Arabidopsis thaliana: one gene and its partners. The protein of the gene in region 2 interacts with the protein of the main gene of each other region in a pairwise test. Each region holds a gene or a part of one and is shown on either strand. Other genes may lie near its edges.

Region 1 (4,857 bases), on a different chromosome or scaffold from region 2:
GGAAGAGTACTACTCTCTTTTATTTTTTTATCTTCCTTGCTTCTTTCGTAAACTGAGTTGAGAAACAAGAGACAGTTATGTAATATGGCTTCACGTAAACTTCATCATTCCTCATATATTATCAACTTATCCGGTGTTTTGTTTTCTTTCTGCGAAAGCGATAATACTCCGCATTAGAGACTATTCAATTTCTAACTTTTCACAAATCTTGAATGTTCAGTTTTAAAGTTTTATCCGAGTCGAGTCTCCTAGGTACCGTACCATAATTTGTTTTGTTTTCGACGTGATAGAGGGTCTTTTCTTTGGCACCACTCCTCAGTGATAGCATCGATTCTTTACAAAGAATATGACTTTGACGAGAAATTTGTCCTCTTTCCGCCTTTTCCTTTCCTTTATAAGGGTAACGGTCCTAACCATTATCAAATTTCTACATATGTATTTCTCGTCAAAGTAATCTTTGTAAAGATCACAATATCACCTTAGGTGATTTTTCTAGTTAACAATATAGTTATAAAAATAGAGATAATATAGCACTCCGGTTTCAGGAATACAGTGGTGCATGCAAAGAGATTTAAAAGAATTGATTTTTGGTTACCTATATCATCAAAATACACTTATCTTTTTGGTCAAAATACACTTATCTTTTTGGTCAAAATACACTCTAGTACCACAAGGTAATTAGTTTCACACTAAAAAAAGAAGGGTTTAAGAAATCCGAGGCGGATCCTACATTATTCGCCCTCCAAGGCATACCTACTCTTCGATAGTTGGAGACTGCCGCTTAGGCAAAGTTGAAAAGCTAGATAAGATTCAACTTTAAAATAATTGATAAGTAAAAAGAACACATCAAATTACTTTATTTTGAGAAAAAATGTTGTCTAATTAATGTGTTTTTAAAATTTATATCTAATATGGTCAAATAAATTAATACATATCTCTTATGTATTTATAATTGGACTATCATTGGAATTGAATTTCTTTCAATAATTGAAGACTTTAATTATTTGTAAATTTAACCAATAATTGTATAGATCTTAATCAATTTACGAGTTACCTAATTTTAATTCTTTGAAATTTAACAACTTTGACTAATCATATATCTAAACAATCATATGATGTCATATATGTTTTTTCAAACTTTGTATTCCAAATCTCTTTGCATTTTTTTGTTACTTTAAAATAGTCTTTTTAGTAAAAAATAGATGTTTGACTAATAAAATTGAAATGGCTGGTATATTTAAGAAACAAATCAAAGATTGTTTAGTACTAAATTTTTATCCAAATTTGGTAATAAGATATTTCAAAATCACCCAAAAATGTATCTATTCTTTTTGAAATTTCCATTATCAATTAAAAAAAAGTAAAAGATAAATTAACACATTAAATATTATATAATTAGGTAGATAAAAAGAAAAGGCTTGGGATTGTAAAAAAAAAAAAAAACCATAAACAGTTATTTTAAAGTATATCATAAATACAATTTCGAATATGTCCAAATGTAAATACACTGCATACAATGAATATAATATATGCTGGCAACAAGTTCTGTGTCCCATTATATAGTTAGACCCATATACTAAAAATGATTTTGATAAATTTGTAAAATTCACTTAACATATACATATACTTTTATAATATGAATTGCAAGAAAACATATTAACCTATAAGCTAATTTTTTTTAGTTTATTTTTCTTTCTGTTTTATGTATTAGGTAGAATTCAAATGTCAATAGTCAAGGAAATTTGCTAGTGGGGTGAAATTTACATATAATAGGTACAAGTCAAATTATGTATAACAAAATAAATTTTTAAATGTCAATAGCTTGGAAATATTTTTTAACCGCTACTTAAAAACTTTCATAAAACCTATAAGTTATAGTAGAACTTCCAGATAGAGTGACACGAATTTAGCTTAGCTAATCAAATCCTCACATTCCTTATCTTAAATAACCTTCGAAAAAAGTGTGATCCACATGTCTGTATAAAACGAACCGATTAGATTGTGACAACAATACATTCCAACAATTTATCCATCACTTTTCCATCCTCCAAAATTTTTGCAGTAAAATCTCTTTTCACTTTCAAATCAATTATGTCACATCCCACCGTAGAACAACTACATGCTTTCCATGCACAAGAAAGAGAGATATTCTCTAAACTAGTTCAAAAACTCCGAAGACCACCAGCTGAGTCACTTCTTGTCATGGCCACATGGCTTTGGTTTGAAGACTTTGGCTTCGGAAACATTTTCTCCATCATCACGGTTTTTAGCGATCTACTCATTGTAGATCTCGCTAACGAGGCTGTCTTGTGCTTTCGGTGCCTTGAATCTGACCAGCCCCCAAATGATGTCAGTCAGATCCCTCTCACCGAGAGATTCATGAAAAATGACATATCCCTTCAAATAATCCACAATCATCGATACACTGCCATTACGGGAATAAAGAACTTTTTAACCACTATTTGTTCTAGAATATTCTCTGATATCCTTCAACGAGTTCTTCCATCTTCATCATCCTCATTCATCACCAATCTCCGCCACCCTCTCATCATTCCCGGTTTCCCTCATCCAACTTTTGGGAGCATCAACGTATTGCCTAATATCGTTGCTAGGGATAATCTTCCAAACGCAAATTCATTTCTTTTTCCTCATGGTCTTTGGGGCTGGAACGCTAACCATGTCGCGACTGATAAAGAACGGACGGTATTTCTAACGTTTTCTCGTGGTTTTCCCGTGTCACATGCTGAGGTGATTCATCTCTTCACCGAGATATATGGAGAAGATTGTGTCGAAAGCGTTTACATGCCAGAGGACGGTGGAAATTCCTCCAATGACAACACAAATTGCAATGGTCATCAGCAACAACCACTATTCGCGAAGATGGTCTTGGACTCGGTTGTTACCGTAGATCGTATACTCAGCGGCCAGGAAAAACAAAAGTATAAGATCAATGGAAAGCATATTTGGGCTCGTAAGTTCAAGAATAATAAAGACGGTCTTATCTAATTAAATAAAGTCATAAGGATTTTTAGTTTCTAGTTTTTCAATTTGCTGGTGTCAAATCCCTTATCTTATATTGTAGTCTAATAATTAGAAACCATATGTAACGTTTCGACGATGGTATCTTCACTTAATTTGACGGGAATGTGTTTCACTTAAGTTTGAGGTTTGAGGTGACTTTAGATATCCAATATATTTCACATTTCTTTTAAGCAAGAGTGGTACTCAATATTTTTATGCACTACCATATCTCTAATGTTTTCTCAACATAAAATATAATTCACACGTTTAAAATAAATAGCTTTTGATCAACCAAGCTTCTAACGATACTACGCTGATTTGGGGGAAATCACCATCATCGTCACCGTCACTGTCACCGTCGGTTCCTCCTTTGAATGAATTTTAGTAGGATCCCTTTGATGTCATTGACAACCGCCATCATCATCGTCTCTATTACCACCGTTGATGCTGCCACGAGCACCACTGACGTTAAAACCACCAGGACTACCACCACAACAACCACTATCACCACTAACAAAGAGACCAAGTTTTTTCATAAACTACCTTCCATGTTTAATTACTATAGTTTGAATATAGAGTGCTAGTTTCTTAATTTATTAATAAAAAAATGGTAGTCTTGCACAAATTTTTCTTCTTTATAAAGAAAGATATCACAAAATTTTATCAATTAAATTTATTGAATAAAACAAAAGATTTTCTCTCTTCTATTGTTTACCTTTCTTTTTAGTAAGTAATTAAGTCTAAATGTGCAAGAAATCCACAGATAATAAATTCAAAGAGATAAACTTTGATGTTGTTAGAAATGGAGGATAATCATACAATAGACGGATCGGTTTCTCGAGTAATTGTTTTTTTATTAAACGGATTATACCAAATTTAGACCGATTTTCACCAATAATCAAATCAAACAGAACCGAACCAAATTACCTTCATTAATTGGAAAAAAATCGAATTTAGCCAAAAATAACCAAGTTAACCGGATTTTTTTAAAATGAATACAGAGATTATCGACAGTGGAAAAAGGAAAAGAACTCGAAAAGAAGACCATAAACGCAGAACCATAAGCATACACAGACGAATGTTAAGCGATTAGTTTTAACACATTTCATAGGTCTTTTAAATGTATATTATCGAGTCTTTGATATCGAGAACATATAGTTTTCGATATCTTTTAGTGTTTTTGGATTTGTGGACCTGCTGGGGTTAAAAGAGGTGTGTTGGAAGAGAAATGAAGCCAAATGAGTCAAGTGAAGTAATTGGAGATGCAGAGCAGTGCAAAAGCGTCATCACTAATTAGTTTGGCCGCCTCTGATAGAAGACTTCCTACCGATAGATCTTTCTCAACTTTGTACACAAGATAGAGTAGGATATAATCTCTTTATTGATCAAAGTATGATAACAAAGTATAACAATCAAGGCACATCAAATCAATTTATAAACCCTAGTCACGTTTCAAGAATCCAAATAGGAAATACACAATAAATATTGTCTTGTAGAGATTGCAAATAGTTGTTAAGACGAAGAACAAACTATTTTTATTTATTACGTGGGTCATATTCAAAATTGAATAAATGTAAATTTACTGTAAATGATGCACTTTTGGATAAATCCTGACAAAAACTAGATTTATATCGTTCATAAACCTTTCACATATCAGCCATTGCAACCATATGAAGTTTTGAAAATAAGCTTGTAGGTGATTTTTGGGAGGATTTACTCACATGACTAAATTGGGCCCATGAGTGAAAGTGAAGCCCATTTGTAAAATAAATGTCACACTACACACAAAAACCCTAAAAATCATTTCAGTCTTCTCAAGGTTTTTGAAATTTCTAT
Region 2 (7,190 bases):
AACCTCACAAAACCCCTAATTTAGAGACTTGACATTTAGATGCAACTGAAATTCTTTTAAACATATACAGATACATGAAGAATCCAAGTACCAAAACCATTATACAAAGCCATTAATGTAACTAATTCAAGGAAACTTTCATCGCAAAAGAAACAGAAAACTTACTTGATTCCAAGATCAATGTGCTCTTGGATACCAAATCCAAAGCAACCAGTGTCACTGAAGTTCCTCCTAAGAAGCTCATACTCCTTAACTTTCAAACCACTCTCAAGAAGCTGCATTGCCTTCTCACCTCTCACAGTCACATAACACGCAATCTTCTCATTACGCCTGATACCAAAAGACCTCACAGTGTACCTCGCTGTATAACAAAAACCACAACATACATCAGAATCAAGATCAACACAAAATCAAACTTAAATCCCTGAAAGATTTCAAATTCACATACCCTTAGAGAAGACAGGGGTTTGTCCACTGAGCTGCTCCAACACCTATACGAAATAACCAAAAACAATAATTCAAATCTAAATCACTAAATCAATGATGGATAATCGTAAAGGTCAGATTTTTACAAACAAAATCGAACCTTGGAGGCACGAGTGAGACGATCACCACTCTCACCAACGGAAATGTTGAGAACAAGTTTCTGAACCTTAATGTCCCTCATGGGGTTCGAGAGCTTCTTCTCCGACGCCTGAGAAACAAAACAAAGCCGAAAAATAAACCCATTGAACTAAACACATTTTCATTGAATCGATCTACAGAGACGAACGAAACAAATACCATTTTAAGGAGATCAATGTCGAGCTAAGAGACGAAGCAGTGTAGAGTTTGCAAAGCCCAAAACTGCGTCGAGTGCAAAGTGAGAGAACTTATATGGGTCGGTACTTAGGGTTTCTTGAATTAACGCAATGACGAAATTACCCCTTTGATTTATTAAAATGGTTTAATGGGCCAATATTATAAAGCCCATAAGAAAAGCATAATCTTAAGCATATATTTGGCCTTCTTAGTTACATAAGGCAAATAGTCTTTCATTCGCCGAATCACTTTATTATGTATGAGTTTTAAAATTAACGATAGATAATTTTTTATGAGACTGTGGAAACGCAAATCTTCATTTATTTTTGGAAGAACAGAATAAATAAGAGTTATTGAGAAAACAAATTTTTACAGTTAATGCCATGACAATGACAACAAAATCAAGAAGACTAGTTAAGACACTATGAAGTCTATCATCGTGGTCCAGAGAGCTCAATGGCTTCAATAATAAAGGACTGCTCTTCATGACCATTACTGTAGTTCCTAGAGACACTTGGAGCTCTAGCTTCATACCCTCCTTCACACTGTTCCACTAAACCTTCTAGTACCTTCAACACTTGAGACATCCTCGGTCTTAGATTCGGATGTGGCTGTGTACAAAGCAAAGCCAATTCCACTACTTCCTCCAACACCAAATCATCAAACTCTCCCTTCAAATCTCTGTCCACCATCTCTGCAAATCTCTTCTCTGCTTTCAATGTCCTTACCTACAAAAACCAATGGTTTAGATTTAAGTTTTGTCCTTATGGGTTCAGTCTAAGTTGAGTAAATGACTCATAGAATTTTTTTACTTACCCAGCTCAATATCATTCCTTTTCGAACTTGACCATTGCCTTGATCAATCATCTTATGACCTGTTATGAGTTCAAGGATTAGTACTCCGAATCCGAAAACATCGGTTTTCTCTGAGGACTGTCCAGTGGAAAGGTACTCGGGAGCGATGTGTCCAATGGTTCCTCGGACTGCGGTAGTGACATGTGAATCTCTCTGGTCTAAAAGCTTTGCTAGACCAAAATCGCCAACTATTGCTTCAAAGCTCTCATCAAGTAGAATATTTGCAGCTTTGACGTCTCTGTGAATAATCTTTGGATTGCATTGCTCGTGCAAGTAAACAAGTCCTCGAGCTGCGCCGAGTGCAATGCTTATCCTCCGATTCCAATCTAGAGACGGCTTTTCTCCATAATTGTCTGAAACATGTAATCTTATAAGGAACTTTTCGCGTTATATATCGAAAGAATAACAAAACAAGAAATGTGTTAATTGAAAACCTCTCAGACGATCAGCTACGCTTCCATTTGGCATGTACGGATACACAAGCATTCTCTCTTCCGGGGTCATACAGAATCCAAAGAGGCGTAAAAGGTTACGGTGAACAGCTAAGCCAATCATCTCTACTTCGGTTTGAAACTGAACTTCTCCTGTATAAATCGGATCTTTCAATCTTTTAACTGCCACCACAGTTCCATTTGGGAGATACCCTTTATAAACCATCCCAAACCCTCCTTGTCCCAAAATGTTCTTTGGACTAAAATTGCTTGTTGCGGTTTGTATTTCGCGAAAACTGAACCTTTTCAGATGGCCGATTTCAAATTCGTAGTCTTGCTGCACTAAGAAATCCATAAAAAGTAATGCAGATTTTAGCAAAGTCTTGACATATATTGTATATGACAGACAGAGAGAGACTATTAGATATGTACCGTGTGATCTTGAGAGACGTGATCGATGCCAAAGCACCCAGAAGAAGAGAAACATTAGGGAGATGATAAAGGCAACAACAATGCCAAATGCAAAAGAGAGCACTAAGCTGTGATGTTTGCTATTGTCCTTTTCAGACAAACCCGTCGCTGCAGATCGATTGCAGCTAGTTAAATAAACGAAACCATGTTTTAAATAAAGTTTTGCAAAGAATTTTCGAAGCAACATACCATTTCTCACAGGTGTAGCATCTGAGCAAAGCTCTTGGGAAGCTGGACCACAAAGAAATGCATTTCCTACAATCCTAAAACAGAAAAGTTTATCAAGAAGCTTTCACATAAGTTGCAACGGCTAATAATCATGCATTTTTCGCATATCTTACCTGTAATCTTTTGCTGATATATTCGGAGTTGGTCCGCTTAGATTGTTGAAAGATAGATCCCTATTCAAGTTTTTCATAAATAAAAAAACATTAGTCTAAGAAACATTATACGAAATAGAAATTTCCTGGAGCTGTAATGTTAGGTAGAGTAAGACATACAAGAAAGAAAGACCTGAGAGGCCAGCGACGAGGTGAGGGACTTGCCCAGATAAAAGATTCCTGCTAAGCCGCCTACAAGACTTAACCTTGTAAGAAAATAACAATTGCAACATTAAGTAAATCAAGAATCTTTGCATCAAACTCACAAGTAGTTTAAGTGAGTTAAGAACCCTAAAGAAGCTGGGATTTCACCACTAAACCGATTCCCCGATAAATCAAGCGTTTCAAGCTCAGAGAGTTGGCCTAACTCAGAAGGAATCGGACCAGTTAACTGATTATTCTGAAGTAACCTACAATAATAACAAGTAACCCCATTAGTTACAACAACACATACTTGAATTCCAAGATTAACCACAAATTCATTTAACTCACAAAGTATGAAGATGAGTTAATTCCCCAATACTAGTAGATAGTATCCCTGATAATCCTTTACTAGCCATCTCTCTGCATTAAAGATTTCAATAAACTCAGCAAAGAAACGTTTCTCAGAGACATTTAGTCGAACAAGTGGTGTGCAAAAGATACTCACAGAGAAACCACAAAACCTTCAGAAGAACAACCAACCATGTTCCAAGTACAAGGATCAACAGAGTTAATATCCCAACCAGACAAAACCTCTTTCTCATCTTTCATCTTGTTCTTCACTGACATTAACGCAGCCACTACAATAACCCAAAAATATGGATTAAGTCAAAACCTTTTTACACAATAAAAGAAAGATCTTTGATACTTTTTTCACCTTCATAGTTAACACCCTTGGGAGATAAAAGACTATCCATGGCAGAAACAGAGTCAAGAACAGAGTAATAATAAACCCAGATTCCTAAAAACAGAAACTTCATCAAAGAAATCTCCATCGTAGAAAAAGTATAAGAATTCTCTAGACTTCAATGTTAGTTATCATTTGTATGCCCTTTCTTCTAGGGCAGACCATTTGAAACATTATAAATACATTAAAAAGATAAGTTTTTTTTGGCATTAAATTGAATCGAGATGAAGAAGAAGAAGAAGAAGACAAATAAAGAAATTGACGATTATAGCAAATGGAAGCGGGAAAATCCTCGAAGTTGTCAAACGATTGTTTCCTTGTCTTCTGTTCTGTAAGACTTTTTTTTGTTTTTATATCTGACTTTTGACAGTGTTAGTGAGATTAGATCCTCTGTAATCGGTTCTACGAGAACAATGGTACAACAGCACACTCTTGAATCTGATATGGTATTCCGATCAACGGCTTGATTTATCTTTATTTCACCATTGAAAAAGTCAATAATGCTCAAGACTAATGCTCGTATGAACGATATTGGGTTAGTAATAAGTTGGGTTAGTATGGAATAAATGGTGTGACACAATATTTGAATGGTGATGATTTTTGTAACAATAACAAAAAATAATTATCTTGCGACTAAAATAATTATCAAGTTTTAATTAATTTTTGATAACATTTCGAGTAATAGCAAAGTCTTCAAGCTTCAAGACTCTTAAAACATGCAATATAATGCTTATGTGCTCATGCACGGCTGATTTAGTCATTTTACCCTTTCTCCATAAATCTTGTTTAGCCTCATTTTACACTTTTTCGTTGCAATTAGGACATATAATTCCTTCATGTGTTAATGGTCCTCATTCCTCTGCTAATCGCTTCCATTCTCATACCATTTTAACATGAAATAATTCCGCGACGAATTTTCAGAGATCTATCCCAAAAAAACATTATGTCCTTGAGTTTTTAGTAGGTCTTGTACATACCGATACCCTTTATATCCTGCAATTAATAGTTCATTTGCAACTTCAGGACTATCCTTCGCCCAAGAAATGATCTTTGATTTGATAATAACGTCACTTGCTTGCTTTTCATCTACAATATCCACACCAAAGTCATCTCACGTAAGATTCTATAAGTATAATATTAAAGAACATTTTTCTAGAAATATAATATTAAATTTTTTTACCTGAAATGACTGAGGTAGAGTCGATATAGGTAGAATCAAAGTAACTGAAGGTACCGAGAAAAAGTTCATTAGGGTCACCAACCGCCTTAATCGTAACGGGGTCAACGTGTTTTGAGATACCATAATTTTCGGTATCCCAATACACAACGTTTTTGGCAAGTGTGTAAAAGGTATCCTTTTTTGCAAGTGCGTAACAACTATCCTCTTCAAACGGTAGAATTACAAACTAACTAAAATAATTTACCTTGTAATTCAGTAGAGTAAATTTTACAAATTCTTGTTTAAATTACTTATGTATTGGTCTTAAACAGCTTGGTCTTTTTAGTTTTGAGTTTGGATATAATTGATCTTGGATCTAATGCTTTCTTGAGTTTTTTATATTACCTATGTTAGTATGTTTGCATTTCTGCTACTGATCTCAAATCATTGTAAAATCTCTCATACATATCATTTAGAATGTGGGTAAAATTATACTATGAAATAGTAATAAAAGCGCAAATATATCATAAAGCAAAAATGTGAACGATAAGATGATCCAAACTAAATTCGAAATGGTATCAAAGTGGCAAAGACGGTCTATGGCATAATTCACCAAAGCCACTGCTTACGACATCATTAAAAATATAGAATTATTTTCTGAATATTGGTTAGGTTGTGTATGCACACAATTCGTCCATGTCATATTGTCATATAGTATTTTTATCATTTTTAAGTTAATGTTTTGCTAATGTGATTGTTTTTTCATATATTTAAAGATTTTGAACCATATATTATTTTGTAAAGTCACGTGGATCCACCATTTTTCGTAGGTGCATGAAATAATTTGAACAAAACTTACAAATATTAGTTTTGTAATTAAAATAAAAGATATTTTTAAATTTATAGTGTTAGCATCTTTCAATCATTTATGAAAATTAAATAATAAAATAAATATTGTATTATTTATTTTTTCTAAATATCAAATAAAACATTTTTTTATACAGTAAATTACAATTTTTTTCTTTTAAACTTGTTTGTTAAGTTTTATATTTTTGATTTCGCTTTAGGGAATTATAGATGTTTTGACTAATTTAATAGTTAAGTGTATTGAATAATAACTCGAGCAATTAAATTAACCATTAGATCACATCTCGTCCAAATCGTTGAGTTACCACAGAAACTTGAGATCAAGTGTTTGAATCTATCTCGGTACCCACTTCTCTTCTCTCTTCCTCTCTCTCTCTCTCATGTTGTTACGTAAATGATTTGGAGATTAAACTAAAATTATTATAATTTGAACAATTTTATTATTAGAGAAGCAATTTCTTTTTTCTCCTAGTGAATTATTATTATTGAAGTGATTAAACTAGTGTTTTCTACACCTATAAATAATGTTTTGCAGATGTAATTTGAATCATTTGATCAGTTAACGCAAATACCTAAACAAGAGTCCTAAGCTTCGCCGCCCGATAATAATGTATGATTTGATGCCACGTCAACAAAATACCATTCAAATTCGGTTTGATAAATTTCGGTTCGGTTCAGGTAAAAACCGTTTGGTTCGACCAGCCTTAAAAACCGAACCCTCTCTAAACTCGTTTGTCGTTCTCGCTCTCTCTCCGCCGCTTTCTCTCTAAAATGGTGATCGATGTTCGAAAAATGTTTCCTTTTTCCCGAAATTCACAGTAAAAAAGATATGAATTCTCTAAAATCTTTGAGATACAGTAGCATTAGAGAAGCTTTGACACATCAAAACCCAACAAAGTCTTCATTTTTATGCCCACTTTACTTCTACAATCAACGAAGATGGTTAAAGCCTGTAGATTCAGCACAAACAAGGTTAGAGAATCGAACAAGAGATCATCAATTAGACAAAATCATTCCCCAGATTAGGAAACTAAACATCATCCTCGAGATTTCAAAACTCATGTCTAGCAAAAAGCGTGGTCCTTTTGTTTCTTTGCAGCTTATGTCTAGATGGAAGAATCTCGTTGGTTTGAATGTAAATGTTGGAGCTTTTATCGGTAAGTATCCTCATGCTTTTGAGATCTTTACACATCCTTTTAGTAAGAATCTTTGTTGTAAGATTACTGAGAAGTTTAAGGTATTGATTGATGAGGAAGAGAATGTTGTTAGAGAGTGTGAGGTTGATGCTGTGAAGAGGGTAAAGAAGTTGTTGTTGTTGTCGAAACACGGTGTTCTTC
Region 3 (8,415 bases), on a different chromosome or scaffold from region 2:
GAATATCACAATCGGCTCTCTTTATCTCTTGTATCATCAAATCACTTATTCGCAATAGAAGTAACAAAAACATACCTGCATTTGCCTGCATTTTTGTAGGTATTTGTCCAGGATCTTTTGTGTCTTTTCCTTTTCTTTTCTGTAGAGTGGCTGGTGAACGTGGACGATACAGAACTCCTTGCCTCCAGTGTTCTGTATCGCCCAAACAAGAGTGGACTTGTTCCCCAAGTCACTCCCCACTGCAACATATATCTTCTCATCCATCAGCAGCTGCTGCGAACCTGATTTGCCCATCATCTCTCTCTATCTCCATCTTGCTTGGCCTGGATTTTAGCGTTTAAGGCTGCATCGAAGCCTCATGAAGCCAACACTTTTCCCCTTTGCTTGGATCGAAGCTCCTATCTCCAACACACTCCATATGAGAACACTCAAAACATACCTCTAATTCACTCAAGAGAATAAACAAGAACAAACTTAAAATTTGCAATACGAGAAAAGAGATGACTTATCTAACAGAGGGAGCAATCAACAAGCAAGAACATTTTCTTATGTTATAACATGCACACGAAGTCAACCACGGTACCAATGACGAAACCTAGCCTTAACGCAGAAGCTGAATCATGTATTAAAATAATGAAGGCTTTTTGACTTTCAACAAGCCAAACCAGGAATCAAAAGCGACAGTATCTGTGTATGAAGAGAAATGTCGACATATTGACACAAATACACGAATTTCACAAGACTTTTGAGAAAATCCTGAAGAATACTCTCAGCATTTTCCAGGTTGGTGTCTTTAAAGGCTGCGTTAGGTTGGCTTACCTCAGTGCAATCCTGAATTTTTATACAGTTATGCCACTAGCCGCCAAAACGACCTGACCCCACTGCTAATTAAGTAAGATTAATCACAAGAATTTTAAGAGTTCATTAAAAATCACTATAGGCAATCCAAGGTAACTTCTTCCAGGTGGAAAACAAGTCTTACACGATAGTCTTGACTAAAAATGTAAGACTCATCCTAATTTTAGCTAAGCAAAGGCATCATCAGTGAGATCATGTCCAATAATTAGAGGCTAATCTTTGTTCTTAAGAGAGCCGAACATAATGGAAGAACAAAATAGTGGCAGTTCTTCTCACACAAACCGAATAAGCATATAACTTTTTTTTTCATACAGAACATATATATATATATATATATATATATATATATATACATATCCACATACAAATCTCACCAGCTTCTTCTTTTCATATATGACTGATATGGAGGACTTACACTATGCTTGAAAAAGTAAACAAATATGCTGCTATCCATGATTAGATCGTATGTATATGTATAAGGAAGACTGAAAACACTAATCTTACTCACTTACTCTGTTGCCTCCCGCAGAAAAGGCAAAAACGTTTTTTCATAAGAGAACAGGGATTGAGGGTTTGAAGGATTTTATTTTCACAAATGATGTTGAAGCCACTCTTGAATCGCAGAACGAAGAGCATGGTTAGCTATTAGGCTGGTGTGAGAAAGCTTGACATTGGTCATTGGTGAAGTATCATGCTCACTGTCCAGCCACGCTCTTATAGCCTCTGCTTCGTATGTGAAACCGTCTGCAGCCACGTGTGGATCCTGCATGACTTCCTGAAATATTTGAAAACAAAGCAGAGGAAGAACGGGTTGAGTACCATTAGACTGCAACATAACGGTTTGAGACCTCAGATAAGCAAATTTTAATGACTTTGTGATCGAAGTCTTCTCAGATTGATAATAATACTGGAAATCCATACTCAAATATACAGATTAGTTACCTGGAAAATGGGGCAAATGAAGTATGGAGGGGCTATCCGGTGCTCGTTACGGCCAAGATGGAAAGATGAAGATCCTCCACTAGAAGCCCTCATAGGTTCAAGTACCCTCCACACTTCAGTTCCAAGATCTGGACGATTCTCGCTGACAGTCTCGCAGCATCTCAATGCTAAGCGAGCAAGCTGCTCAGCCTGAACAAAGGGCCAGTCCCCTGCTAAAGGGTCCAAGAGGTCGTTCAATGTTCCATTATCGAGGGCATATTTCACTTCATTTGATATCCGTAAGGCAGGTCTCCCGGTCAACAAGCGCAATAAGATAATCCCAAACGAGTAAACATCTGACTTAGGAGTTAGCTCTCCACTACTGGAAGCTTCTGGATCCAAATAGGCAACTGTGCCTGTAACGTCAGTTCTCACACTTTTGCTTCCGTTAGGATGAAGTAGTGAGCAGGTCCCAAAGTCACTTAACTTGCTAACGAGATTGGAATCGAGTAGGATATTTGCCGGCTTCAAATCACCATGTACTAAGCTATGAGCTTTATTAGAATGAAGAAAGACAAGTGCTGCACATATCTCAGTGGCAATGCGCACACGATTTTGCCACGACAAGGGTGGAGAGTTGTCTTTGCAAGTAAGCCTGTCTTCAAGGCTTCCACCCGGAAGATACTCATAGACAAGACTCCACCCCTCTGGACATGCTCCAATTAGCGTAATGATATTTGGATGCCTCATTTTACTTAGGACATCAACCTGCAATGCCGCAAGAATAAGTCAAAGCTCCTCCACAGCGAACACTATAAAATCAAAACTACAGTAGAACTGTGTTTCAAAGTCCCCTTTTTCGTAGAGGCAGCAGTTTGTGCACAATAAACCAGTAAACAATGATGATGAAACTAAACAAGAAATTTCACTAATAATATGTCAAGAAAATACCTCCTGTTGATATTCTACAGGGCCTTGCGAACTGTTAGGATTCAACATTTTTATAGCCACCTGAGTATGACGCAGTAAACCAACGTAGATGCTTCCATATCCACCTTCCCCAATCTTCAGGGTCGAATCAAAGTGATTAGTTGCTTCCTCAATCTCGGAGAATGAGAAATCCGTGAAGTACTGAGGCAACTGTAGGGTTGAGGTTTCTGCGTGACTCCTTAACTCCTCAGCTTCTCTGAGTGCTCTGTCACGTTCTGTCTGCAACTCCTCTCGTTCATCCCTCAACTTTTGCAACAACTTCACAGCTATATCAAGCTTCTGGTTTAGCTTTTCCATTGTACCATCAGATTTTGCTATCTGGCTCTCAAGCATCGCTTTCTGAGCCATTGCACTTTGAAGTTCTTCCATGATCACCTCTTGCTCGTTTTTTATTGTTATAAATCTCTCTTTCTCTTTCGCTACTGCTATCTCCGTATCTTTCCTTCGCTTCAATTCCTCAGAATAGGCACTTTCTGATTGTTTAGCCTATAATAATTACCTATAATATCAGTATACTATAATATTTTAGCTGTTATTGGTGTAACTAGAAGCACCACTATTAAGCCTAGGGATCTCTCCAAGTGATACACTAGCGGTTCCAGTATAGTATATATCTCCAGCTAGAACATCTAGCAATCATTTCCAAAAAAGTTTTAACAGTGCCAACTAAATTATTTTTGTAAGGAAACTCACCCTTCTGATTGCATCAAGTGCGTTTTTTTCGGCTTTCTGACGCCTAAGAGTCTCTGCAAAAGCTTCTTGTTTTGAACTGTGAGCCTCTGACGTGGCTTTTCGGATTTTAACGTTAAAAGAATCATCCACCCCATCCTGCAATGATGGACAAATTTCCTGGACAGCTGAGATACAATGTTATATGAAAATCAAAATGCATTGCTTTTCCATTAGGAACAACATGGCATACCGGAAAACTGGAGGGAGATGAATGGCCAGAACTCATAACTGTTGCACTTCCCGTTACTTCACTGCCATCAGATTCTCTCTCCTCCTCATCAGTATTTAAAGACCCATCCGACACCCTCCCGCTTTGTTCAGTTGAGCTTCCATTGCTTACTAATTGTTGAACTGAATCGGTGCTCTGTACTCGAGATATATGCTGATGTTCAGACTCCGGTGTAGAGAAAGTTTGAAGTAGATCACTTGCACTTATGGAAGGACGCGGAGATGCATATTCTGATTCAGTGTCGTCCATAGTAGCTTCCCTGCAATGATAGTACAATATTTATTACTAATAAGCAGCCACAGATGCGTCATTTTCAATGCCAATGCAGATCTCGGGAAGCTTAAAGACTACTAGAGTAATAATTATGCATGGCTGATTCGTACAAGTCATTTTGAAATCCAAGGATTCGGTTGTGATGAGAAGAAGAATTGGCCAAACCTTGTATGTATCAAGTATCCTTTGCAAGTAAACCATATTTGACAAAGAGTAGGTGCTTCTCGGCGTACGAAGATGGCTTTCCTGGACTTCAGATCCGTCATTCTCCTGAAAGCCAAAGTATTGATAGAGGAAGCAAAACATAAGGATATTGAAGAGTAAGAAGCACACAGATCTACAGGAGTTGATTCAGTATGAATAAGTAGAGATCCCAAAAAATGCTTAGTGACTCGCCATAAGCATACCTTGAATAGTGTCTATCTGCTGCTGCTCCCATGACAAGTTTCCTGATTCCCAGCTCCGAGATGAGCTGCACAATTCCATTCTCGATGGATTCCATTTCAATAAACATCTTTTCTGCCCTGACCTACAATCATAAATACACTATCTATCATAAGGACACTATAATCGTAGTGCTAGCCAATGAAGTAAAACAAGTTCCCTATTAAGGGCATAACATCAACACTAAAGAAAAGGAAAATAGATGGAGGCATACCCCTCTCTGCTGGCATATACGAAGGTAGTCGTCTAGGATCATATGTACTTTCTCCCTTTCCTTTTCCCTGAAAACCCTGACTTCTTCCTCCTTCACAGCACCAACTGGAAATTTGGCGCCCACTAGGATGAATCAATGTGAAAAAACAAGATCAGTGACCACAAACAAGACTAAGTGGAAAAAAAGCACAGAGACAAGGTGTAAGGGAACATACTAAGTGGGATCATTTGGGAGGGCTGATGAACATGAATAAGGCAAATCTTCTTGCCTCCAGTGTTTTGCAAAGCCCAAATGAGTGTAGATTTGCTCTTGGCCACGTGTTTATCCACTGCAACGAAGATCTTCTCGTCAATCAGCCGCGAGACAGGTTCGTCCATAATCCCGCTCCTACTAGACCTTGATCCTGGGCTACCAATTCCGTGAAATCTCATGGATCCAGCTCTTTCACCCATTGCTGGAATTGGACTCACCAAAGCCATTGCTCCAATATCAAATCCGACAAACCAGATCGTTTGATATCTAAAACCACAAAACAACGAAACAAATTAAGAATATTCACCAAGATCACTCCGGAACACGAATCAATAAGCAGTGATTTAAAATAGCAGTTTCACAATCCAAAAGGGAAAGTTTCTAACCAGAGTGAAATTTTTGACTAGAGAGCAAACAGACACACTCGAATCGTATTGAAACCCTAGAGTCTACGGATAAGGAAGAAGAAGAAGAGGAAGAAAGAGTTTGATTATCAAATTTCGAAACGTATTGACCAAATAAAAGGACTCTTGGTCAGACCAACCAAAACTCACGGCAAGAAGAAACTGATATTTTGTCGGAAAATTTCACGAGAAGAGGGAAAGACAATTAAAATTGAGATTTGTGTGCAAAATTTATTCGATTTTACTTTAACATACCAAAACGAAGCTTCTTGGGGATTTGTGTGCTTTGCTGCTAAAAAATCTGACGTGGTCGAGAACATGAAAGAAGAGGTTTATTTATCTGCTGTGGACACACACACAGTAGTACTTATCTATGGGGTGGTCCACCTTAACCGATTAATGACACGTGTACCTGATTATGAGAAGCACGGATGAGATTTGGTACACCAACTCGCAGTCTTTCTTAATTCTCTATTTCTGCCGACGTGTTCACCTTTTTTGTTCCCGCCGGTGAAAACTTATTTCCATTCCAATCAGTAGAATAAATGACTTTTTTTTATAACATAATCTATTTGCATTTGATCAGATATGCATGCAATCTATTTTTCAGAAGACCCCAAAAGAGTTAGTATCATGCAAGATATCAATATTCTTCATGTTACACATATATGTTAATTTTAAGGTGCTAGTCAATTTTTAATTAAGTGTGACATAAGATTTATGAAAAGTTAAGCGAAAAGCCATTTTCTACTCACGAATCTAAAATTCTATAAAGTCTGAGACGAACAAGTGCACTATGCTGCTACACATAGATGACAACGAATATGAAAGTATTAAGTGCATCATTATATGTCTATCAAACTAAACGCGTGAGTTATAATGACGTGTTTTAGAAAGACTGGATGCATCAAACCTAATAGTATTAGGCTAATACACATGGATTATGCAAAAACCAGCAGTTGAATGACTATGTCTCCATATATTTTGAGGATCTGGTATCGGATTACTACTATATCACTCTAATGATTGTTAAAAAATGGATCATTGTACGTTAATTTGCTAATTTTGTTAGTTGGTTCAAGAAATTTGTTATTTTTTTTTTCCTGAAAATAGATGAGAAAAAGTCTTCTATTAACATTTAGTGTAGATTATAACATATTTTCAAGTTCATTTTCTGATAAATTAAAAACTAGCTAGTTGAATTGTTAATGTGGCGTGTGTGGTTGTACTATGTTATATAATGTAAATTAATAGGCATATTCTCCGAAATGCTTATTCCCTTGTCATTTTCATTTGAATTATATATATATATATATATATATGTTTCCGGGGTCGAAATAGAATTTTATTTGTTATTGAATATTACGTTAATTTTGTAATTGACAGGTTTTAAAAATAAAGAAAAAGTTGTCTCAGGATATGAAGACAGGCTAAGCACATCCACACCAGTTTGTTAACTAACCAAGTTATATATATAACTGAGTTTAATTATCATGGAATATTTCAACTTAGGATATACGATTTGGGGATGTAGCATCTCTTTATTCATTCGTCAAAAGCTTCACCGTAAACTGCAATTTGAATTTGTTTGTGCACGTTTCCGTTAGAGCAATAACGTTAATTGGATATGACTAGTCTTCACGATAACCGGGATAATGATGAACTTATAATAAATTAAAAATAAAATATATCAAAAATAAATACCTCCTTAAATGGGCAATATATGATTCACGGGCCTTAATGGTATCCATATAAGCCTGCCTGGTTTCCGAATCCAAAGTTTTGCTTTTCAAAAGTCTGAATCCAATAGTCTCAAATGTTTTAAGGACGTACGTGTCAACATTTTCAAATTGCAGGCTTTGTAGTACACCAAATATCACTCATACGATTACACACGCATTTTTGGCTTTTAGTTTCTTTCTTTCTACTTTAATGTTTTCTTTTAGGAGTATCAAGTATGTGATGTGATTTTCTTAATTAGTTTACGCTATCACCGTCTTTAATTTCCATGATAATTATATGTTACCAAAACCCTTAACTAAAATGATTGTGGTGATTAGACAGAGTTGTAATATGGCAACCGCAGCCATGCTTATTTTATAAGATTACACTAAATTTATATCTCTTTTCTGTTAGGTAGAACATAATGAAAGAATTCTGTATAACATACAAAAACAAAAACTATATGATATTTAAAAGTCAAAAACTAATCATGCATTTAATTACACATGACGTTACCATATACTTTTGTTAGCTTTCTAATCTTTTAAATTCCAGTTTAAGTAATCACAAGTCTTAGAATTCGGCGATGGTCCTCAGGAACGAACAAGAACAACGAAATATTAATTGCTTGCATATAACCCTCGGGTCGGAGTCGGATAAAACGAATATGATCGGGTTCCGAATGCTGAAAGCGATGCACAAAAAGCCCATCAAATCTTCACATGCAAATTAGGACAAGATACGTAGACAAAAAAGGCAGTGACCTGTGATAGAAGAATCCTAAGAAACTATATGCTTCGTATTCTCCACTATGTCGTCGTTTCTCTTGTTGTTATATGCTGAGTAAAAATACAAGAAACGTTGTCGGTTTCTTAATTTTGTTTTTGATGAGGTCGACATTGCGAACATTTGTTAATTGCTTTTGTCGTTTATCTTGGTACTACTATATAAAAAAAAAAAAGAGTAGCTGCTTTCTAATTAGGGGTTGTCTGTCTATACAGCTACTTAAAGGTATCTTAATCTCTTTAAGCCGAATTTTTGAATACTAATCTTAATTAGAAATAGAAGTACAGTTAATTAGGAATAAAATGATATAGTAATAAATTAACATTCTAAAGTGATGTATCTTTTCATTTATTTATTTTTGTTATAATGTTAGTATCTTTTCAGTTTATTGGACTAGATACAATCATAAATGGACATCATGACTACTAAATTGGTGCATGCTACATGCATAACGACGAAATATAAAACCATTTATCTGCATATATCATGTGAAGAGATTTTTTTTATGTATATGGATGGATACACGTTAGGCCTGAGCACGAAGCGAATATCCGGAAAATTTGGGATATTTGTTATTCAATTCGTTTTAA

What was found.
Region 1: the proteins of AT5G45780 (region 2) and AT1G64870 interact in a protein complementation assay, tested with the Arabidopsis thaliana proteins (one large-scale study listed by BioGRID).
Region 3: the proteins of AT5G45780 (region 2) and AT2G45910 interact in a protein complementation assay, tested with the Arabidopsis thaliana proteins (one large-scale study listed by BioGRID).

Annotation. Positions count from the first base shown.
Region 1 is NC_003070.9:24,100,826-24,105,682, forward strand, and holds AT1G64870 (uncharacterized protein), read left to right. Parts: upstream 1-2,091; coding exon 2,092-3,006; downstream 3,007-4,857.
Region 2 is NC_003076.8:18,565,711-18,572,900, forward strand, and holds AT5G45780 (Leucine-rich repeat protein kinase family protein), read right to left. Parts: upstream 4,197-7,190; 5' UTR 3,916-4,196; coding exon 3,798-3,915; exon of another isoform or gene 3,721-3,797; coding exon 3,588-3,720; intron 3,503-3,587; coding exon 3,431-3,502; intron 3,349-3,430; coding exon 3,205-3,348; intron 3,131-3,204; coding exon 3,059-3,130; intron 2,960-3,058; coding exon 2,900-2,959; intron 2,822-2,899; coding exon 2,748-2,821; intron 2,667-2,747; coding exon 2,520-2,666; intron 2,430-2,519; coding exon 2,091-2,429; intron 2,010-2,090; coding exon 1,618-2,009; intron 1,530-1,617; coding exon 1,236-1,529; 3' UTR 1,088-1,235; downstream 1-1,087. Other genes in the region: AT5G45775 (Ribosomal L5P family protein), read right to left, coding at 166-361, 449-491, 587-694, 784-786; AT5G45790 (Ubiquitin carboxyl-terminal hydrolase family protein), read left to right, coding at 6,635-7,190.
Region 3 is NC_003071.7:18,891,245-18,899,659, reverse strand, and holds AT2G45910 (U-box domain-containing protein kinase family protein), read right to left. Parts: upstream 5,631-8,415; 5' UTR 5,573-5,630; exon of another isoform or gene 5,300-5,572; intron 5,181-5,299; 5' UTR 5,141-5,180; coding exon 4,876-5,140; intron 4,784-4,875; coding exon 4,662-4,783; intron 4,533-4,661; coding exon 4,411-4,532; intron 4,274-4,410; coding exon 4,169-4,273; intron 3,990-4,168; coding exon 3,692-3,989; intron 3,598-3,691; coding exon 3,463-3,597; intron 3,256-3,462; coding exon 2,731-3,255; intron 2,548-2,730; coding exon 1,801-2,547; intron 1,634-1,800; coding exon 1,448-1,633; 3' UTR 1,132-1,447; downstream 1-1,131. Other genes in the region: AT2G45920 (U-box domain-containing protein), read right to left, coding at 76-297. UniProt on the Arabidopsis thaliana protein: Functions as an E3 ubiquitin ligase.